Lepisosteus oculatus: one gene and its partners. The protein of the gene in region 3 interacts with the protein of the main gene of each other region in a biochemical or structural test. Links are inferred from orthologs where the notes say so. Each region holds a gene or a part of one and is shown on either strand. Other genes may lie near its edges.

Region 1 (7,039 bases), on a different chromosome or scaffold from region 3:
TATCATGGAGCAGACTCGCTTTAGGAGTGGCTTAATGGATTATGAAAACTTTTTAACTCCTCTGTATTTGGCATACGAGCTGCATCTTAGGTGATTATTCATATCCTGTGATATATCTGTTCTGTGGGAGCCTTGCTTTTCAGAAATGCCCATTTTTAGCAACATAAAAGTACATTTTAAGCACAAAAAGAGCCATCAAAACTGTCAATAGCACTAGTGATCTGTTTGTAATTAGCACATGCCTGACATTTGAAATCAAAAGGAACTGAATTACAAAGCCAAGATACGCCCAGCAATGATTCAGTCACAAGTAACCAGTGACACATCAGGGGATTTAATTTCAGCTGTTGGACCTATCCCGCCTTTACAGTTTCAGCAGATCACCAGCTGAACCCGTAACGTCACTTTTCCATAATTTCCCTAAGTGAAGCACACCGACTCCCCACCAAGGCAACCTCAAAGACAAAGGGGGGCAATGACAAAAACGTCTTATGTAGTAGTAACAACACGCAGCGTCATATTCGTAAAAGCACAAATGCAAATCAAACTTATATATGTCATGTCACGGTCTTCTAGTTGAAATCGTTTTTAAAATGAAGTTAAACCCTTCGGTGTTTAATTATAAGCAACCTTCAGACTGGGACACACACACACATTCACTCCCCACGGTCGCCGTGCCTGCTTTCCGTAGCTGTTAATCAGAAAGTCAAGCGACGTGCGCTTTCACAAAACTGGGATGTGCGCCGTCATTCAGGAGCGCTTGAAATGCGCAGCTCATTTATCCACGGGCTGAAATCCGCATAGTTCAGGCCCAAACCACCAGAGAATCCCAGGGCAACTGCAACATGCAGGCCTATCTGAACAAATCCAGTACAGATCCCGACCAACTCCACACTCAAAAAAGATATGGATAGATTATTGCAAATTAGCATAACCGCAAAACATAAACGCTAACTGCTGTTTTCCACGAGTCTCGCAGACCTAATTAGCATTCCTTTTACGAGGACAGCACCAGGGGTAGTTCGCTGATTGGCGAGGGGGGGGTATAGGGATTTCAAAATCTTGACCGTTTTACATGTTACACGCAGCTCCATTTCAACAGCTCCCCGAGAATCCCTTCTACCGAAAACAGGAAACCTGAACGATTTGAAGACGTAACGAGTGAGGGACGCGAGTTGTCGACTTGCCCGACACTGAATGAAACAGCCAAGCCAGACGGCGGACAGTCACCCAAAACACAAACACCCCACCAGATCCCGGCAAACACGTCTACACGAAACAGGGCAGATATGACAGGCATGGGGGAGTTTTCCATAAGCGATGATAAACAAAGATGTGATCTTACCAATTTGTTTACAAATGTCCATTACAAAAATGTGCAAAATCTGTAAAAATCGACATTGGCCGTTTTTATTTGTTTACCAACACCTTCACAACTTCAGGCTCATATTGTGGTGGGGGTAAATATTTGGAAATGAACACACAATGACAGTGCGAATCTGGGAAGTTGGACTTAAAAGGACGCAAACGGAATACATTGTTTACCAGAGACCTTGCAAACTTTTCCAGAGTTTTCTTTCTAGGACTTCCTGTATCAGACGACTATCGCAGTTCGCGAATCACGATTTGACATCGGTAGCAAAATACTAACCACTACAATGAGTTACAACATACGAGACACATTTATATAGGCTCTCTCTCTCTCTGTGTGTGTGATTGTTTTTGTGCGCTACATTTTTACGTGAACAATAGTAATCGAGATCTAAGAAATCGGTCCGACAGCAAAGAAAACGTCCATCATATCTGCGACTCATTAAAATATCTTAACGTGCACTGCAAACGTTTTGGGCACTTGAGGCGTTTCGTAACGCAGTCCATTTTAAAAAGAGGCAAGGCTAAGAGACAGGTAGAGACATACCCAGTCTTCTGGGATGCATTAAACCTGTCCTGTTGAAAACACCCCGACATCACCGTTACAGGTGGCTTCGTGACTTAAACTTGCCAGTTGTACGTTTAGTGGCGAGGCAGTTGATCTTGACCCCTCTTGACGCGTCCCCCGCGAATGAATCCGTTTTAAAATAACAAAATCGACAACAGCAGGAGTTCGTGTAACGCACCCCACCTCAGGTAACAACCCCCCCCCCCAAAAAAAAACGCGGTTCTCTCACAGAGATTAACGTTACAGTTAATTTAGATGCATCTCACAAGTTAAAAGTTGGGTTCGATATTTCGCGAGTGGGGAAATGCCCAGTGCGTTTGTTTCAGATGGCATCCAGACATCACGCAAACTAAACGATCCTGACTGAATCTGAACTTGTGGATTGTGGATTGTGGATTGTGGATTGCATTCCGACACTGTCACAGCTTAAAACAATTAATACAACAGACCGCTACCTAGCGGGTTACAGGAGCGTGGAAACGTGTCACATTCATCTGCGCGAATATAGAAGTAAATCAGAACGTGATCTTACCTACATCTGCATTGCAAAAAGCCTGTTGTGGGTGGACGGGTGAGCAGCTGCAACCTTCCGCTATTTCTTTCACTCGCCACAGAAGCAGCACCGCCAGAGTGGCGAAGAAACTGCTAACAGTACAACTCATTTTGGTCTCCTCGCTTCGTCACCACCTCGCAGAAGAAAAACCTGACGTCTACGGATCGCAGAGAAACAACAACAACAACAACAAACAAAAAAAAAAGCCCGTCTTAAAAAATGTTCGGGTTCTCTCTCTCTTTTTTTTACAACAAAGAGTAATAAATACGAGCGAAGTTGCTGTTTTCGAGCAGCAGTTGAGAAGAGAGGTTGCAGTCGACAGTTCTGTGCAGAAATTCACCAGGACTGAGCAGCGCCGTAGGGGAGGTGGGGAAACGCGACCACTACCAGTATTTTCTCTCAAGCCGCCTTTCCTCAACACTCTCCTTCTACGGGTCTGTCTGTTTCCTTTTCGCTGAGATCAGCCTCATTTTTTTTATGGTTTGCTGTTGGGGCTCCTCCCATTCAGTAGTCGGGGGCGCTGGGCTTGCACCACAGATAGCTCTCGTCTGCTCGTGTTCCCCCTGTGCTCAACTCCCAGCATTTGTTTACGCGTTTCGGAGCCGCCAACTATTGTAATATCACCGTATGCGACCGTTTTATTAAAGAAGGCTTGCGGAAACGGGCTCATTCGTGTATTCACTGCATTAAAAAAAAACTACAGAGCTTTCGAAATAGCACATGAGGCGTGACAGTTCTGCTTTAAACTTGAAAATGTCCAATACGCGCGATAATATTTACTCCGAGGGACTGGGGGGGTGTCTCATTTAAATGCTCTTGAAGCAGAATGTAGAAATGAAAATTAAAAACGCACTACAGTCGCTTCAGCTTCAGAAATGTGTTATTTAATCTCAATTCAAACCATAAAGGAATTTTAGAACCGTGGGAGTGTCAGTTGTGCAGGGTTTCGATGGGGCTCAAGGCCTAAGCATCTGCTGTAGGTTCTTTCCTGATCTTTAGTTTTCCACTTGCTCAGAAAAGACTGAGCATGGTTCTAGGCCTTACTCGGACACTCAGATTCCCAAGACTCAGACAGGCTGTCCAGACACTCTTATGGTCCTAAACTGAGTATATCTGGGAGTACGAATGGAATCAACATGATTCACACCGCGGAAAGTTAGGTGCCGCAGCTCAGACAGAGATTGTGTGGTATTTACAGCTTTTCATCTTCAATTTTAAGTTCTTCATCCCCTGCTCAATAAAATGATGAAAGAGGAATGACTGTTCCAACTGCAGAAGTGGTTTGCCTCTTGGGACAGCTGTCACGATCACTCAAAATGTTTCAGTATGGCCACAAAAAATCTCTTGGAGAGTGGGAGATAGCCTTGGGGGTTTGCTTCTGATGCAGGAAGAACCCCAAGATCCTATTGACTATCACCATCATCCCCCTGCTGTCTGGCTTCGTTCTGTAGGATTTTTTTAAAAAAAGCATGGAGGCATTAGCTGTTGAGATTCACTGAGTGAAAGACTGATTCTCTTCAACTGCACCTCCTTTAAAGTGTCTGTCTGTGGAATGGGATTGCTGAATTCCAGATGCATTATTGTGAGTAACAGTATCCCTTATACAGTAGCAAAGTTTGCCCAAAGCTTCACAGTGACTGCAAGACTTCAGCAGCCGAGACAGCTTCTGGGACAAAATACCACAGAATGGCACAGCAACACAGAAAGAGGTGACATCATCCCATTAAAGACAATCGCTTCAATCTGGGTTCAGTTCTTTCTTTGGTGATTTATTTTTGTCTTGCTGAATAAAACATTATGGTTATGTCCTTTAGGCATTTCCTTCTTCCCTATAAACCAACATTCCTGTCTTTACTTGAAATTCCCAGCAATTAGACTAACCCCCCCCCCCCCCAAAAAACAAAATCCCAAAATTCTGTTCTGAGACCCATGGTTAGAATGCAAGTAATGAAAACAACAGGAATAATAATAAGAAATAATTTGGAAAATATAGTGCGTATTTGCAGCTCCTCCATTACATCACTGACATTATTCTTGGCAGCACTATAGTGACTGCCTTGGGCTTCTGGGAAAGCATTTCCGCAGTTTTTCTGTTATTTAGTTTTTTTTTTTTACCATTTAGTGCTTAAACAGGACTCAGCCACAATGAGTATTCAAAGTTCTTTAATTCTGCACAGAGAAGCCCTTTAAAAACTCCACTAAGTCAACCCCCCCCCCCCCCCACTGTTCTGCAAGTTAATAAAAAACAGTTGCTGTCCATTACTGAACTGCATCACGTGGTTATGAGTATCTTGTCTCGTAGAACACCACACTATATTCCAGAGTTTGCTGCTCGCTTGTGACAAACATTCCATACATAAGTTCCATAACCTTATTCCATATCCAACAAACTACATTTCAGTAGTTTCTTGAAATTCTTATTAAGACCAAATGAGCCGATGTATAGACAGGAATAATGTGCTTAATACTCCTCCTAGCCAAAGATCACTGCTGTCGCAACCTCCCTTATGTATGAGGAATGAACTAGGGAGACAGCTGCAAGGGTGCAGTTGGGGTGGAGTTGAGCTAGAAAAGAGGCGCACAGAGCTGTGGGCAGCTGGCTATTATTTATACATAGGAGAGTGGAAGTGCTAGATTATAGTCTTCTTGGATCTTTATTAAATAACCCAATCTACGGTGGGGCAAAAAAGAATGTCACACATGCACTGGCAGGGTGGCACTGTGGCACAGTGGTCAGCGGGAGCCCTGAGTTCAATTCCTGCAGTGCTATCTGTGTAGAGTATGTATGTTCTCCCTGTGCTTCCTCTGCGTGCTCTGGTTTCCTCCCACAGTCCAAATACATCGTGGTAGGTTAACTGGCTTCTGGAAAAATGATGCCCAAGTGTGAGTGTGTGCTGGTGTCTGCCTTGCGCCTGTTGCTTGCTGAAACAGGTTCTGGCTCCCACATGACCCTGTATTGGATAGAAAGTGGATGGATGAACGCACTGGGGCTTTAATCTGAGAAATGTCCGGCACAGCCCAGCATGGTAGTACAATAGTGACAGGTGTGACCAGCAGAAGTAAAGCACAGCAAATATGTTGCTCAGCATTCTTGCAGTTTCTGGGGGTATCGCTGTATACACTTATCTATTCCAATTCTGGTGCTTCCTCCTAAAATGGCAAAAATAAGCAGGAACGCAATCTCATATAAACTTGCAACATTATTACTCCCAATTGAGATATACTATAGCTCAAACTGGAGTGTGGTCTGGTAAAGCACAGGAATATTGCTGCAAAGCTTGAGGAAGCGTGGTATAGGCCAACCTCTGGCTGAGCAAGGGAACTGCATGGCATCAGCATTATAAAGCCACAAACATGTGTCAAGTGTTCCATGGTAAACTTTTATAAACATCCTTCCGTGTGTGTAAATGATGAGGCTGCAATGATGTGGGAATATACCCAAGCTCTAAAGTTTTATTTTGACTTAAAACGAACCTAATCCCCAAATACATAATATTTATGAGCTTCAACTATAGTTATCTATAGAAAAATATCAGAGTCCCTAGAGCTAGAAAGTACAACATGAAAATTACATATCAAACAAAAGATATATCATATGTGACCTCTATAAGCCTAGAAATCCACCAGAGCTTCAGCCCCAGATCACTGTTGTTCAGGTGAAGTTGCTCCCCCAAAAAATGTTTAAAACAAACGTGAAGTCACCCAAGACGTTTCTCTTTTCCAGCAGCCTTGTGAACAAGGTTTATCATAGTTTGGCTTTTTTTTGCAGATTTTGCTCATGTTCGACATCTTTCTCCACCAAAAGGCGTTAAGTTTGAGTGTTCAAGGTTCAAGTAAAAAATACTCACTTTAAGAAAGCGCACACAGCACATGATTTTGCAACTCACCCTTTTGGGCTGTCGCTGGCAGGGGGTGAAAATCTTTGCAAAGCACTGGAGATGACTGACAGAAGATTCTGTATACTTCCATACAAATTGTTATCCTTTGCATGGGAGGTTCTTCAGAAATTCTCCTAAATGAGATTTGTGGAAGCCTGTCTGTCTTATGGGAGCATACCTTTGTCAGCTACTGTACAGTACATCACTTGTCAAGGACATCTTGGCAAAGTTATTTTCAGTCAAGCCTTCAATGACAAGATTTAAAACCCACAGGTTTATGCAGGCTGTCTAGACTTTCCCTTTATCTCGAGCTCTTTGTCTGATCTACGATAGATCTGACAGCACCGCACAGTAAAGCTGAATAAGGCCAATTACGTGAAAGTGCTGTTGTTACACAGGGCTGGCCAGTCTTTGTTTTGTGATGGACAGCTGAGACTCTCCGGTGAAATCTGCCGATCGATGCAAGCAGTACAATTAATGAAAGGAAATGACACATCCAGGGGAAAATATGCCAACACAATTTTGCTTTTAAGACCCACAGAGCCAAACCCACATCTTTCCCGCACTTATTTATATTTGCGCAGGAAGGCTGAGCCCCAATACACAAACATTTAGCCTGGCTCCCATGTCTGTATCACACTGATGTGGTCTACATGGGAGACGAGTGTA
Region 2 (7,884 bases), on a different chromosome or scaffold from region 3:
CATAAAACAATAAAACATAAGTGGATGTAAACATAAAAATTGTATTGTTTCAGATAGTTCTAGGACCTCATTTCTGTTGAAAAAAAAAACTGTATATTGCTTCCAGTTACACAGTATCCTAAAGCCTGCCAACTTAGTTGTACATCGTGCAATGGGTTGAAAATATTGAATGATACATAAAACTGTTTTTTTTAATTTTTCAGTGTAAAGGTCATGAAAAGTTGAGGTGTATAGTCTTTGCAAATCATACATTTTTAAGTGATCACTTTCATCACTATTAATAATAAAATTATTATTGTTGTTATTACTACTACTGCTGCTGGTTCAATATCACAATCAAGCAATATGAATGTGCTCATCGTGGATATTTATTTTTAATTTACTTGTTTGCATAATTGATTATATTATATGTGTACTGTATAAACAATATTAAATGATTTTATTTTGGTTAACAATTCATTGAAATAAGCAAATCTTTCGCACACCTTTTCTTATTATTTCTATAGTTCTTTATTGTTATCCATAGCTGTGCTCCTGCCACTAAAAACATTTTGTGACGTCTTGAGAATATGTTTCCTATTAATGAGTCATGAGGCCTTAATAATTATAAGACTGGAACTGAACCCAAGGGTTCAGAAGTAAGATTGTTTCCCTACATACTAAATAGTCCTCATTAGTGTAATTTCTGATTTCTTATCAAACATGCATTTCAATAAAAGCAAAAGCTGTTAGAACTAAAAAGAATAAATTATATACAGTATATCCAGTACATTAATTCAACCTCTAAATATATATTTTTCTATACATGTTTCATCACTCAGCTACATCAGACTGGAAGTACTTTACAGTTTCTTAAAAGTCATAGGCTGTTATAAGCCAAATTTGCTATTTATGGTAAAAATTGTTCTACATTTTTGTGACTGACAGTAGCAAAAAATGCAGTCTACAAGTACAAGCCCATTATTGGAGCCTCAGATAGATATACAGTGGCTTGTGTTTCAAGAACTTAAAGCCTGCAGGGCTTCTGAAAAAAAAGAGCCAGAGCTCCAAACAGAGATGCTCATCATCATCAAAATCTCTGTCAATCACTTGCCAAGCACAGCACATTCATTTGATGTTCTGCTGATACACCTAATGATCAATAATATAAAAATATATTCGCAAAAGTTAGGATCAAATATGTTATAATATGCATACAAGTGTAAAACTTTAAGTTTGTTTCTGCACCATATATTTAATGAGCTCTGTGACCATCTGAAGCACTTGCAATGTTTACCTGTGTTCTACTATGGTTTTAACATGGTAATAATGACAAAGTTCTCTGCCTTGTTTAAGAAAAGCAGATGGATCTGATGCCCCTTGTCTCTAGTTCATTGCAAATGAAAATAAGAAAAACAATTATAATGTTGCTATGTTAAACCATAAAACTACCTTACAGTATAAGACCAGAACAGTAATTTGACTTGTGTCTGAACACCTGCAGTAATCATAGACATCCCCTGAAGCTACACATAAAACAGTCAGATGGACCTGTTAACTTTTCCAAACTCTGGCAAAAAGTAATAGAATTTTCTAAACCTTTCTGGGCATTCACATTTCATGTACAGTATATGTAGATAATATGCTGAAAGCAAAGATAAACAATAGATATGAGTAGCATCATCTTCTTCCTAAATGCATATACTCTATATGCTGGACAGGACACATATTATAATTACACATAAGACTATAAGTGTAAAAAAATAAAGCTCATATTATAAATTATAAAAAAGTCCACGTTTATAAGCTGATTTTATGAAAAAAAAAGCATGCCAGTTTTTTATAAATATATTTATATTTAAGATTTCAAAGAAGATCTATCAGAATTAGATAAGACAAGAAATATTGTCTGAGACAAACGTGAAGCATCTATAGATTACCTACATAAAATGCTTAAGATTGCAAACGTCTTTTAAAACCTGTCAAAAATACTAGTTAGAAACTAAAGTCAACATATTTTGCTATCTAAATTATAAAACATAAGTACAACTGGAACTCCAATATGTAACTTTTCCATTTACATGTTACACCTTTATACACTGCTACACACTGCAGTCTGTAGTTACAGAGGAGTTGCAGTGGTTTTTTTTTCAATCCACAGTCCATCTGCATTCTGAGTTTCAGATGGGAATAAGAAAAAAAGTACCCATAAACTGCAGGACACGTTTGCAAAAGCACTTACCTTCTTTGCACCTCTATGGTGTGTCTGATATCCCAACTTCAGGAGCAGTAAGGTAGCGTTCGTTGTCGGAATAGGGGCTTAGGAGGAAGCAAGCAGCCCGTGCCAGACCTCTGTGGTCCTGAGCTAACAAAACACAGCAACCAAATGTAGTCACGCAGCACTATAAAGCTGCTATGTCATCAATATGGGCTTACGGTGTGGCATAAGAAAAATATGGCTCACTAACGAAATGCAGGTGCACAAGGGTCACACATCTGCTACCGCGATGATTCTTCAGTGTCTTATAAGAGAGGAATTACATATGCATACCTGGCTGCATCTGTTCTTTTTTAGTGAAACTTCAATTAGTTCGAAGAAACATAAAATAATTTATCTGTGTGCTAAAAAAAGCAGCCTCACAAACTTCCGTAAGCCTCTTAATCACCTTTCCAGAAAAATCAAACAATAGTTTAAAAAATGGAAAAAGGTGAAAAAAAATCAGCTGATGCCTTTACTGGGAGCCAACAGCCTATGGCTTAGAGAAACATAATTCAGCAGTCAAAGCTGAGAATTGTATTTAAAAAAAGACAGAATGGGCTAACTAAAATTAATACTAATACTATTAACTTCCAAAATCTTTATTTTTCCCTTCTTCTCTATTTTGAAGACGTAATACCTTCCATGGAGAAACAAGGTATGGACCATGTCCAATAACTTACAGATGGCAAAACATAAATCAACACATCTCAGTTTCTTTTCATCTTCTTTCACATCAAAAGGCCCATATTCATTATCAGCAGCATCTGACTCTAAACTGCAGTTTTACCCTGCACTTCATCAGGAATAATGAAACAATGGCAAAGGTTAGTTTTTGATTTTGATAGGGAGAACTCTGTTTTTTGAAGATGTTTCTCTTCCCCCTCCTCCCCCTGTCTTCATACCCTCCCCCCTCTATCCCAAATGTTACTGACGTCTGGAATCAATTGAGTATAGCCCATTTCTCTTTTTTTTCATGCATGCCAAACAAGAATGCAGGCTTGAGTGCTGGGTGTTAAATCTTCAGATGCAAATGTGAACCTCTACAGCTAACCTCATTCTCTAGCAAATTTAGAAAACTGTGAGTCAAAGTATATTATTCTTTACAATATACCTTCAATGTTAAAAGATGTTTCATTTCATTATACTGTAAATTTATTTTAATCTGAGACTAAAAATGAATTTCTATGGTGATGACAAAATTTGCAAAGTCTGTATTCATTTTTTATGCTTTTTTTGCTATGAGAATGTTTAATCAAAGAAATTACACTTGCTTTCAAAGCTACTTATTCAATAGTAATAATGGACGGAAACAATTAAAACATATTTAGAAAAAGATATACAGTATTATATTAATTATTAAATTATTCACTGCATTTATAGTTTTGTAATGAAAAACGACAACAAAACGTCTCAAACATAGGTTGTTATGATTCAGTATTGGCTTATGAACACCTGCCTAGTCCACTGATCACAATTCCTTTTAGTAATACATACAGTATGTCCAAAATTATCGTCACCTCATAAAGATGAGCTTAAAAGTCTGTATAAAATAAACATCACAGGTAATGAGCTATGTTTAAATTTTCCAACTTGCAGAATGCTGTATATTTTGACTTTGTTAATGATTCAATGGTAGAAAGCTAAATTCCACATTTCTCAAATTATAAAATTGATATCCGAAAAAATAAGTGTAACAATTATTGGTACCCCTGCTTTCAGTACTTTGTGTAACCTTCCTTTTGCATGATAATAGCACTGAACCATTTCCAATAATGTTTTATGAGACTGGAGAACATATTGGGAGGGATCTTATACACCCCCATTCTTCCATACAGAATCATTCCAGATTCTTTATATCCTTGGGTCTGGGCTTATGGACAGCCCTCTTTAATTCAGGTTTTCAGTTGGTCCAGAGACTGAGATTTTAAAATGTTAATTTATAGTTGTCTCACCATTTCTTTATGGATTTTAATATGTGCTTTGGGTCATTAGCCTACCCCTAAGACATTTCACTGCCAGACAAATATCTTGGTATTTGGTAGAATTCATGATGTTGATGACCTTAACAAGGGCCCAGGAATAAGTAGAAGCAAAATAGTCACATAATAGCTCTGATTCACCACCATATTTTTCATTACCAAATTAATAGTTCACAAAGAAATACTTAAAATGTGCATAGACATATATAACAAGGAAATACTACTGAAAGGCAGCTGTACTTCTCAAGGATCATTAATGATAGTGGTAGAAATCCAAGAGTATTATTCTTTACTATTGATCGCCTATTAAACTCATCACCCCCCACTGATTGGGTTATCCTGGTGTCTTCATCAAAATGTGAGAGGTTTGTGTTGTTTATGATAAGAAAACTACAAACATTCAATCTAGTATAAGCCACTCCATCTGAACTAGCATATAATCCTACAGTTACTTAACCTTGGTATGCTGTGACTACATTCATTGTCTCAAAGCTAAATTCTTCAACCTGCTCTCTTGATCTGATTCCAACATTTTTATTTAAAGACGTCTTAGATAGTCTAATAGTGTACTAGGTATTTTGAACTGTTCCTTAGAAAGAGGTATTTTTCTGAAGAACTTAAAACTGCTCTAGTCAAACCCCTGCTTAAGAAAAGTAATTTTGACTTCTTAATTTTGAGCATTTCTAGCTTGCATTTTCTGGCAAAATCTTAGAAAAGGTAGTGTTTAAATGACTTCCTGTATAAACAAAATATTCCTGAAAATCTTGTCATAGCACCAAAACTGCAAATAGTAAAAGTGGTAAATGATCTGAGACTGCATGCTGACGATGTCTCAATTCTGTACTTTTAGATTTCCGTGTAGGATTAAACACTATAGACCCTGTATACTCCTGAAACACCTAGAAAACTGGAATCGTATCTCTGAAACTGCCTTAAAATGGTTTAATACTTATCTAATCGTATAACACATTTGTCTCAGACAATATTTCTTATCTTAGCTAATTCTAATAGATCCTCTTTGAAATCTTATAAAAACTGACATGTTTTCCCCCATAAAATTCATCTTATAAATATGTAATTTCAAATAAAAATATGAACTTTATTTTTTTAACCATATAATATAGTATTATGTGTAATTATAGTATGTGTCCTGTCCAGCATATAGAGTATATGTATTAAAGAAGAAGATGATATTATATAAATAATATTTTTTCTGGATACTTCACTCAAAGCACTTTACAGGTAATGGGGACTCCCCTCCACCACCACCAATTTGCAGCATCCACCATGATGATGTGATGGCAGCCATAATGTGGCAGAATGTTCACCACACATCAGCTATAATTGGAGAACAAAGTGATAAAGCCAATTCATAGATGGAGATTATTAGGAGATAATAAGTGCTAAAGGCCAGGGGGCAATTTGGTCAGGACGCCGAGGTAACACCCCACAATTTTTTAGAAACACCCTGGGATTTTTAATGGCCACAGAAAGTCAGGTCCTCAGTTTTATGTCTCATCAGAAGGACAGCGCCCTTTTACAGTATAGTGTCTCTGTCTCTATATTGGGGTGGAAGCCACACAAACCACAGGTTGAGCTCCCCCTGCTGGCCCCACTAACACCTCTTCCAACACCAATATTAGCTTTTTTCAGAAGGTATTCCATCCAGGTACTGGCCAGACTCACACCTGCTTAGTTTCAGTAGGCTGCCAGTTATGTCTATAGAGAGTTATATCACCTTATATCTAGGGTGATATACTGCTGTAGCTGCTGGCTTTAATTATATTTTTCCCTTGTATTTTATGTTGACATTTTATTTTTCTTAATTATCTTTAATCTTTTTCTTTTGCATCAATACAATTTTTCTTTAATTTCTTGTTTTTACTATTTCACTAGGAATTTTACACCGAAGATCAAAGTGTGATGAACTATTATGGAGCAGATATTGGCTTAACTCGCTTGACTGAGGGTCGACCTCCTGGCCATAGGACAAGGAGGCCAGGACCCCCACGCAGGGTAACCAAGGGGTAGCTATGGAGGTGGAGCTGGGGTGGAGGTGGGATGCAAAAGTCGTACGTGAGGGAGTGATGGGAGTGATTGTTAATTACTGACAGCTGAGTACGACTGAGCGTGGTCGTTGTCATCCCTCCTGAACTTTAGTTATAAACTCCATTTATTTTTATATCTGCTATTACTGTTATTATCATATTCTTTTATGTATCCTCTCATATTTTGTGTTATTTTATGCTCACTATGTAAAGCAATTTGAGCTGCATTTTAATGTAGAAAGGTTCTAAACAAATAAAATGATTATTATGTTCTTTTCTGTATATGTATCCTTCTGTTGATGTAGGATCCACCGCTGCTGTACAGCCCATACAGCTCTTTTTTCATCTCAGCTGACCATAGCACCCAGTTCAAATCTACTACTGAGGCTGTTTAGCAAACTCCAACACATTTGTTTGTCACAAGCACAGCCGGCATCAATTAATCCTCATTATTCAATCTCTTCTTCCTTCACTATTTAAACCCTCCGTTCACTCCTAGTCCTCGCTTGTTATTAGGAATCTATCCGCCTCCTGAGCTTGCTTCGTCCTCAAATGTCTGACCACTGACACTTGGGACCTTTCGACAACCCTTTCGTCTCGCCCTTTTTTGGATTTGTTTGCCTTGCTTAACCCGCATTCCGACCTCTAGCCTTGGACCTCTTGGAACTCTCTTGGATCTTTTTTTCTGTTATACATTCCAAATAATCTATTGGCATGGAGGCGTCATCTAACTGCAGTTTTGGATAGTTGGTGGTCCCTAGATGTAACGTAAGGTCAGCACGTCTCCTCTGGACCTTACAATTTCCTTTGCCTCCTCACTATACACTAGAGAATGTAGTTTCTTTATATTTTTGAGCATAAAATTTCACTTATTACACGTATTTATTTTATACAGCATATGCTTGCTCATCTTTATCAATGGTACCAATAATTTGGAAGTGAGTCAGATGAAGAAGCTGATAAATTGAAACTGTATGGTGTCCTACAAGCCCTTTCAATCACATAACATATTCATGTCAAATCTAGTTACGTTGTACTCAAACGATGGTGTAAAACAAACACTCCACAGTATCAAAAGTTGTTAAAATGATTAAAAGAGAAAAAAGTCCAGTCTTCTAATCAGAAGAACAATGTTGCACATAAAAAACCTCACTGACATTCTTTATAGTTATTTTTTCAGAGCAATAATTTATTAAGTTCGAGGAAAAGAAGTGCACTACAAAGAAAGGTCTGCACTAAATTAAACCACCTTTGTCCATGGTGCTCCAGAAGGTGGAAATTTGTTTAAAGAGAGCATGGGCCCCAGTGGGTAGAGTAATAAAAGAAAAGCAAATGGCACAAAGATGCACAAGCAAAAGTCACTAGTTCAATTAAAAAAACTAAAATATTTTCCTTTTGTCACCACTGGTCCCTTTCTTCCATATTTTGTGTTCTCAATAAATATACTGTTGGAATATACAGTAATAGTGTTTATTTACTACTACATACAGTGGATTCATAGTCTTCCAATTTAGCTAAGGATTTTCTAGCTTTGCTGCAATGCTTTAATCCAGTGGTTTAAAACTGTGGTACTTAAAACTGTGGTACATATAACCATATAACCCTGGGAATATGTTGT
Region 3 (7,100 bases):
ACGGAGAGGACTGGACCAAGATTTGTTGTGAAAAAGCACCTCAGCACATTTCTCACCCCCCACACAAGTGTTTCCAGGTCCACTTTAACTCCATTGAGCATCTCCTGGCTTTGTGATGACCTGCTTTCCGTCTCTCTCTCCTTCTCTTCCTGCTTCCCTCTCTATCCCTCCCTCTCCCTCCTTCTCTCTCTCTTCTTCCTCACTCTGTGTCTCCTGCTGGAGAGACACTAACAGAACCAGTGCAGAGATCCCTCTCTCTCTCTGTGTGTCTCCTGCTGGAGAGACACTAACAGAACCAGTGTGCAGAGATCCCTCTCTCTCTCTGTGTGTCTCCTGCTGGAGAGACACTAACAGTACCAGTGCAGAGATCCCCCTCTGTGTGTGTGTGTCTGTGTGTGTGTGTCTCCTGCTGGAGAGACACTAACAGAACCAGTGCAGAGATCCCCCTCTGTGTGTGTGTGTGTGTCTCCTGCTGGAGAGACACTAACAGAACCAGTGCAGAGATCTCCCTCTCTGTGTGTGTGTCTCCTGCTGGAGAGACACTAACAGAACCAGTGCAGAGATACCTCTCTCTCTCTGTGTGTGTGTGTGTCTCCTGCTGGAGAGACACTAACAGAACCAGTGCAGAGATCCCCCTCTGTGTGTGTGTGTGTGTGTCTCCTGCTGGAGAGACACTAACAGAACCAGTGCAGAGATCTCCCTCTCTGTGTGTCTCCTGCTGGAGAGACACTAACAGAACCAGTGCAGAGATCCCCCTCTCTGTGTGTGTGTCTCCTGCTGGAGAGACACTAACAGAACCAGTGCAGAGATCCCCCTCTCTGTGTGTGTGTCTCCTGCTGGAGAGACACTAACAGAACCAGTGCAGAGATACCTCTCTCTCTCTGTGTGTGTGTGTGTGTCTCCTGCTGGAGAGACACTAACAGAACCAGTGCAGAGATCCCCCTCTGTGTGTGTGTGTCTCCTGCTGGAGAGACACTAACAGAACCAGTGCAGAGATCCCCCTCTGTGTGTGTGTGTGTGTGTCTCCTGCTGGAGAGACACTAACAGAACCAGTGCAGAGATCCCCCTCTCTGTGTGTGTGTGTGTCTCCTGCTGGAGAGACACTAACAGAACCAGTGCAGAGATCCCCCTCTGTGTGTGTGTGTGTGTCTCCTGCTGGAGAGACACTAACAGAACCAGTGCAGAGATCCCCCTCTCTGTGTGTGTGTGTGTCTCCTGCTGGAGAGACACTAACAGAACCAGTGCAGAGATCCCCCTCTGTGTGTGTGTGTGTGTCTCCTGCTGGAGAGACACTAACAGAACCAGTGCAGAGATCCCCCTCTCTGTGTGTGTGTGTGTCTCCTGCTGGAGAGACACTAACAGAACCAGTGCAGAGATCCCTCTCTCTCTCTGTGTGTCTCCTGCTGGAGAGACACTAACAGAACCAGTGCAGAGATCCCCCTCTCTCAGCCCCTCTACCCCTCCCTCTCCTGACCACAACAACACAGTCCTCACATTCCTGTCTCTTCCCCTTCTCCTCTCTCCACAACTTCAACCAGTCCTCCTCCTGCCTCTGCTCACAGCAACACAGCCTCCAGCTAAAACCCTCTCACTGTATCTGTCTACCTCTGTCCCTCTCACTGTCTGTCCCTCTGTCTCTCTCTGTCCCTCTGTCAGTCTGTCTCTCTCTGTTTCTCTATCAGTCTGTCCCCCCCCCTCTCTCTCTCTGTCCCTCTGTCTCTGTCCCTCTCTATCTGTCTCTGTCAGTCTGTCCCTCTCTGTCTCTGTCCCTCTCTATGTCTCTGTCAGTTTGTTCCTCTGTCTCTGTCCCTCTCTATCTGTCTCTTGTCAGTGTGGCCCTCTGTCTCTGTCCCTCTCTATCTGTCTCTGTCAGTGTGGCCCTCTGTCTCTGTCCCTCTCTATCTGTCTCTGTCAGTGTGGCCCTCTGTCTCTGTCCCTCTCTATCTGTCTCTTGTCAGTGTGGCCCTCTGTCTCTGTCCCTCTCTATCTGTCTCTGTCAGTGCGGCCCTCTGTCTCTGTCCCTCTCTATCTGTCTCTGTCAGTGTGGCCCTCTGTCCCTGTCCCCGTCAGTCTGTCTCTCTCTGTCTGTCCCTCTCTGTCTCTGTCTCTCTCTATCTGTCTCTGTCAGCCTGGCCCTCTCTCTCTGTCTCTGTCAGCCTGGCCCTCTGTCTCTGTCAGTCTGTCCCTCTCTATCTGTCCCTGTCAGTCTGTCCTTCTCTATCTGTCTCTGTCAGCCTGTCAGTCTGGCCCTCTGGCCCTCTATCTGTCTCATGACATCGCTTTCCCAGTCCGCCCGCCCGCTGTGAGACCCCGGTCTCCCGTGTCTGACCGCCCCCGGCGAGAGACAGGAAGCAGAGCGACTGACCTCCGCTTTGAGCCCGTGCCCGCCGGCCGCTCCCTGCGCCCCCGGGAGCGCGCACAGCCCGCCGGCCACCGCGAGCCACAGCAGCCGGGTCAGCGCCGCCTCGAGCCGTGGCATCCTCCTCGCTCGCGCCGGATCCCCGCCTCGCGTGTCCTCGTCCGCCGCGAGTCCCGACTCTCTCTCCTCCTTCCTCTGCCCTCGGTGACGAGGCTGGATCTCGATCGGGCTCTGTTTCTGTCTCCTAAAAGTGGCGACCTAGCAGGGTTTCTCGAACCCGCCTGCGTCAGCTGTCCTCGACTGCCACGGTCACGCGAGCGGGAGACACGCGTGGGCTCGCCTGCAGACCCGAGAGAGAGAGAGAGAGCGCGCTCTGCGGGCGAGTTCAGGCAAAAGTTGTCAACTTTTCTGTAGCTCCTGAAAGAGAGGGTTTTTTTCCCTTTTGTTTCTGTGTTTTTGAAAAGAAGTTGTTCTACAAGTTTTTTGCGAGTGTTTTCTTTTCTCCGGGAAGACAGTCCGTTAGCTCCGCCGCTGGAATGAGGCCCCGACTGTCTTTCCTCGTCTCTTTCCTTTGTTTGCTCGCTCCTCGCTGGCGTCCTGGGGTTCTGTCTCCCTCTCCCTCCCTCCCTCTCTCTCTCTCCTGCAGACGTGGTGTTTCTGTCCCCACTAAGTCTTGATGCCTCTAGGAAAAGTAAAAAAAAAAACTTCCGTTTGGTTTCGCCCAGCCCCCAGTCCAGATGTGCCTCCCTCCTTCTCCCTCTCTCCCTCCCTCTCCCTCTCTCCCTCCCTCTCCCTCTCCCTCTCCCTCTCTCCCCCCCGTGCTCCAGCTCCACTCCTGCCAGCGAACATCAGCAGCCTGTCGCTTGGAGACACGCGGAGAGATTGGCGCACCGCGGCGCCACCTGGTGGTCAGCGCTCCGCTCTGCCTTCGCAGGCAGGAGTTTATGAGTTCAAAACCTGTATGAACCCCTCTCTCTCAGTGCAGTGTTAATGTACTGGAGTGTCCAGTCAGTCAGTGTGTCTGTATGAACCCCTCTCTCTCAGTGCAGTGTTAATGTACTGGAGTGTCCAGTCAGGGTATCTGTATGAACCCCTCTCTCTCAGTGCAGTGTTAATGTACTGGAGTGTCCAGTCAGTCAGTGTGTCTGTATGAACCCCTCTCTCTCAGTGCAGTGTTAATGTACTGGAGTGTCCAGTCAGTCAGTGTGTCTGTATGAACCCCTCTCTCTCAGTGCAGTGTTCATGTACTGGAGTGTCCAGTCAGTCAGTGTGTCTGTATGAACCCCTCTCTCTCAGTGCAGTGTTAATGTACTGGAGTGTCCAGTCAGTCAGTGTGTCTGTATGAACCCCTCTCTCTCAGTGCAGTGTTCATGGACTGGAGTGTCCAGTCAGTGTGTCTGTATGAACCCCTCTCTCTCAGTGCAGTGTTAATGTACTGGAGTGTCCAGTCAGTCAGTGTGTCTGTATGAACCCCTCTCTCTCAGTGCAGTGTTAATGTACTGGAGTGTCCAGTCAGTCAGTGTGTCTGTATGAACCCCTCTCTCTCAGTGCAGTGTTAATGTACTGGAGTGTCCAGTCAGTCAGTGTGTCTGTATGAACCTCTCTCTCTCAGTGCAGTGTTAATGTACTGGAGTGTCCAGTCAGTCAGTGTGTCTGTATGAACCCCTCTCTCTCAGTGCAGTGTTAATGTACTGGAGTGTCCAATCAGTCAGTGTGTCTGTATTAACCCCTCTCTCTCAGTGCATTACTGAGAGACAGGCTCACTGTCTGTTCCTCAGGTTGTGACAGGAGATCACACACTGTATTATTATTATTGAGAGACGGGCTCACTGTCTGTTCCTCAGGCTGTGACAGGAGATCACACACTGTATTGTAATTATTGAGAGACAGGCTCACTGTCTGTTCCTCAGGCTGTGACAGGAGATCACACACTGTATTATTATTATTGAGAGACAGGCTCACTGTTCCTCAGGCTGTGACAGGAGATCACACACTGTATTATTATTATTGAGAGACAGGCTCACTGTCTGTTCCTCAGGCTGTGACATGAGATCACACACTGTATTATTATTATTGAGGGACAGGCTCACTGTTCCTCAGGCTGTGACAGGAGATCACACACTGTATTATTATTAGTGAGAGACAGGCTCACTGTCTGTTCCTCAGGCTGTGACAGGAGATCACACACTGTATTATTATTATTGAGAGACAGGCTCACTGTTCCTCAGGCTGTGACAGGAGATCACACACTGTATTATTATTATTGAGAGACGGGCTCACTGTCTGTTCCTCAGGCTGTGACAGGAGATCACACACTGTATTATTATTATTGAGAGACAGGCTCACTGTCTGTTCCTCAGGCTGTGACAGGAGATCACACACTGTATTATTATTATTGAGAGACAGGCTCACTGTCTGTTCCTCAGGCTGTGACAGGAGATCACACACTGTATTATTATTATTGAGAGACAGGCTCACTGTCTGTTCCTCAGGCTGGGACAGGAGATCACACACTGTGCTGCCAGTTCAACTGAGTTCCCTCCTCCCGCTCCCAGTAGGATTGGGACCCGTTGTGATTCTGGCAGGTGTGGGAATTCTGGGATTAGATTTGTAAATTTAGGGAAGAATGTTTCTCTGATCCCTAATTTCTCTCTCCACTACTGTGCATTAACCACACTCTACTACACTGTGCTATACTCTGCTATGCTCTGTTCTGTGCTGTCCTGCACTCCCGTCTGCAGGAATCTTTCCTGGCTCCTTTCCCGTGAAAGCCCAGTGTCCTGACGGCGGAGTGCAGTCATTACGACTTCACTGGAGTCTCCGAGACGCGGGTGCCGAGCGGGGCCCTCTGGAATAGAGCGCGGGCGCCCCCTGCTGTTACGGCTGGGTATCACACGGAGGTTCAGTCTGGTGGCGCCCGTCTCCGTGGGGAACGTCCCCCAACAGTAGTTATTTGGGGGGTGCGCACGCCTCCTCCCCCCCAGACGTGAGGCCGTGTGTAAGTAGAGCAGGGCTTCACGGCCTCCGTCCGGGACTCTGAGTCTCCGGGTAGTTGAAGCTGTTTCATCCACTGGGGGTAACGTGTCTTACACACAGTCCCATACAACAACACAACGTCACCCACCGAGCGGACCGTACACCAGGTCTTTCTGTTTTCTATTTTGGCGGCGCTTTTTGTGAACTTTTGCTCCGGCTGTCGAAAAGGTGGGGTCGCCGGCTGAGAGCTGTCCGGTCTCGAGCCAGGGAGCGGGCTCTGAATTAGCAGACAGGAAGACGCAATTCAATTTTCAATTCAGTTCGAGGTGCTTTATTAGCATGACCGATGGATACAATCAGTGTTGCCAAAGCAAATAAAATTAATAAAATTCACATGAAACAAAACAAAAAATAAAATAAAATCTACAGACATATTACAGACATTTACAACAAAGACATATCATAAAATATTTAAGTATACTGTAAACATATTGAGCATTATTGGGAGACAGACTCACTGTTCCTCAGGCTGTGACAGGAGATCACACACTGGGCTGCCAGTTCAACTGAGTTCCCTCCTCCCTCTCCCAGTAGGATTGGGACCCGTTGTGATTCTGGCAGGTGTGGGAACTCTGGGAATGTTTCTCTAATCCCAGAGTATCTGTCACAGTGCAGTAGGAAGTGCACCTCTGTCTCTATTTCTCCCTGCTGGCAGTGGGAGCACAGCCTGTCCTCTCTGGACAGCCAAGTCTGTCTGTGTCCAGTTTCTGTGTCCAGGCTGTGGTCACTGAGCCTGTCCTCTCTGGACAGCCAGGTCTGTCTGTGTCCAGTTTCTATGGCCAGGCTGTGGTCACTGAGCCTGTCCTCTCTGGACAGCCAGGTCTGCCTGTGTCGCCCAGTTTCTATGGCCAGGCTGTGGTCACTGAGCCTGTACTTCGTCAGGGTCTGTTTCTGTTTGTTGTTTCTTATCTTGGTCAAATATTCAGCTAGTGTGTATTGTCTGTTTAGGGTTCAGTAGAATCCCTCTGTGTATGAGATAACGTACTTCACCTGGGACTGCTTCACCTGCACTCAAAGACTGAGGGCAGAAAGGAGTCTGGACAATGACCACAGCCTGGACACAGGCAGACCTGGCTTGCCAGAGAGGACAGGCTCAGTGACCACAGCCTGGACACAGACACTGGACACAGGCAGACCTGGCTTACCAGAGAGGACAGGCTCAGTGACCATTGCCTGGACACAGGCAGACCTGGCTGTCCAGAGTGGACAGGCTCAGTGACCACAGCCTGGACACAGACACTGGACACAGACAGACCTGACTGTCCAGAGAGGACAGGCTCAGTGACCACAGCCTGGACACAGACACTGGACACAGACAGACCTGACTGTCCAGAGAGGACAGGCTCAGTGACCACAGCCGGGACACAGTTAGACCTGTCCAGGGACAGTTACGCACCGAGAGGGAGGGAGTGCCGGAGAAGTGGGGCAGGTCTCTCTCTCTCTCCCTCCTCCGTCACTCCTGCGCTCACAGCTGAACACGGAAGTCCCAACTCCCAGCCCTGCGTCAACACGGCCGCCCAGCGGGACGAGGCGAGGAGACAGAGCCGGGGACGCGGCCGGGTGGACAAGCGCCTCGGGGTCGCTGGAGGTCTGTTGGAAGCGGGGCTCACGCCTGCGGGGGTCTCTGGGCCGTGTCGGGGCGCGTCGTGCGCGTTTCTAGCCCGGGGACGAGAGAAGTGTCGAAAACGAAAGTTGAGAGAGAGAG

What was found.
Region 1: the proteins of mmp14a (region 3) and timp2a form a complex in vitro, tested with the Homo sapiens proteins (2 studies listed by BioGRID). The link is inferred for Lepisosteus oculatus from reciprocal best matches to the Homo sapiens genes MMP14 and TIMP2.
Region 2: the proteins of mmp14a (region 3) and lum interact in a biophysical measurement, tested with the Homo sapiens proteins (2 studies listed by BioGRID and IntAct, with this or other methods). The link is inferred for Lepisosteus oculatus from reciprocal best matches to the Homo sapiens genes MMP14 and LUM.

What each region holds. Positions count from the first base shown.
Region 1 is NC_090704.1:41,266,148-41,273,186, reverse strand, and holds the start of timp2a (metalloproteinase inhibitor 2a), read right to left. Parts: upstream 3,099-7,039; 5' UTR 2,602-3,098; coding exon 2,472-2,601; intron 1-2,471. UniProt on the Homo sapiens protein: Complexes with metalloproteinases (such as collagenases) and irreversibly inactivates them by binding to their catalytic zinc cofactor. Known to act on MMP-1, MMP-2, MMP-3, MMP-7, MMP-8, MMP-9, MMP-10, MMP-13, MMP-14, MMP-15, MMP-16 and MMP-19.
Region 2 is NC_090702.1:16,445,556-16,453,439, reverse strand, and holds the start of lum (lumican), read right to left. Parts: upstream 3,061-7,884; 5' UTR 2,920-3,060; intron 2,345-2,919; 5' UTR 2,222-2,344; intron 1-2,221.
Region 3 is NC_090699.1:13,065,760-13,072,859, reverse strand, and holds the start of mmp14a (matrix metalloproteinase-14a), read right to left. Parts: upstream 3,033-7,100; 5' UTR 2,480-3,032; coding exon 2,366-2,479; intron 1-2,365.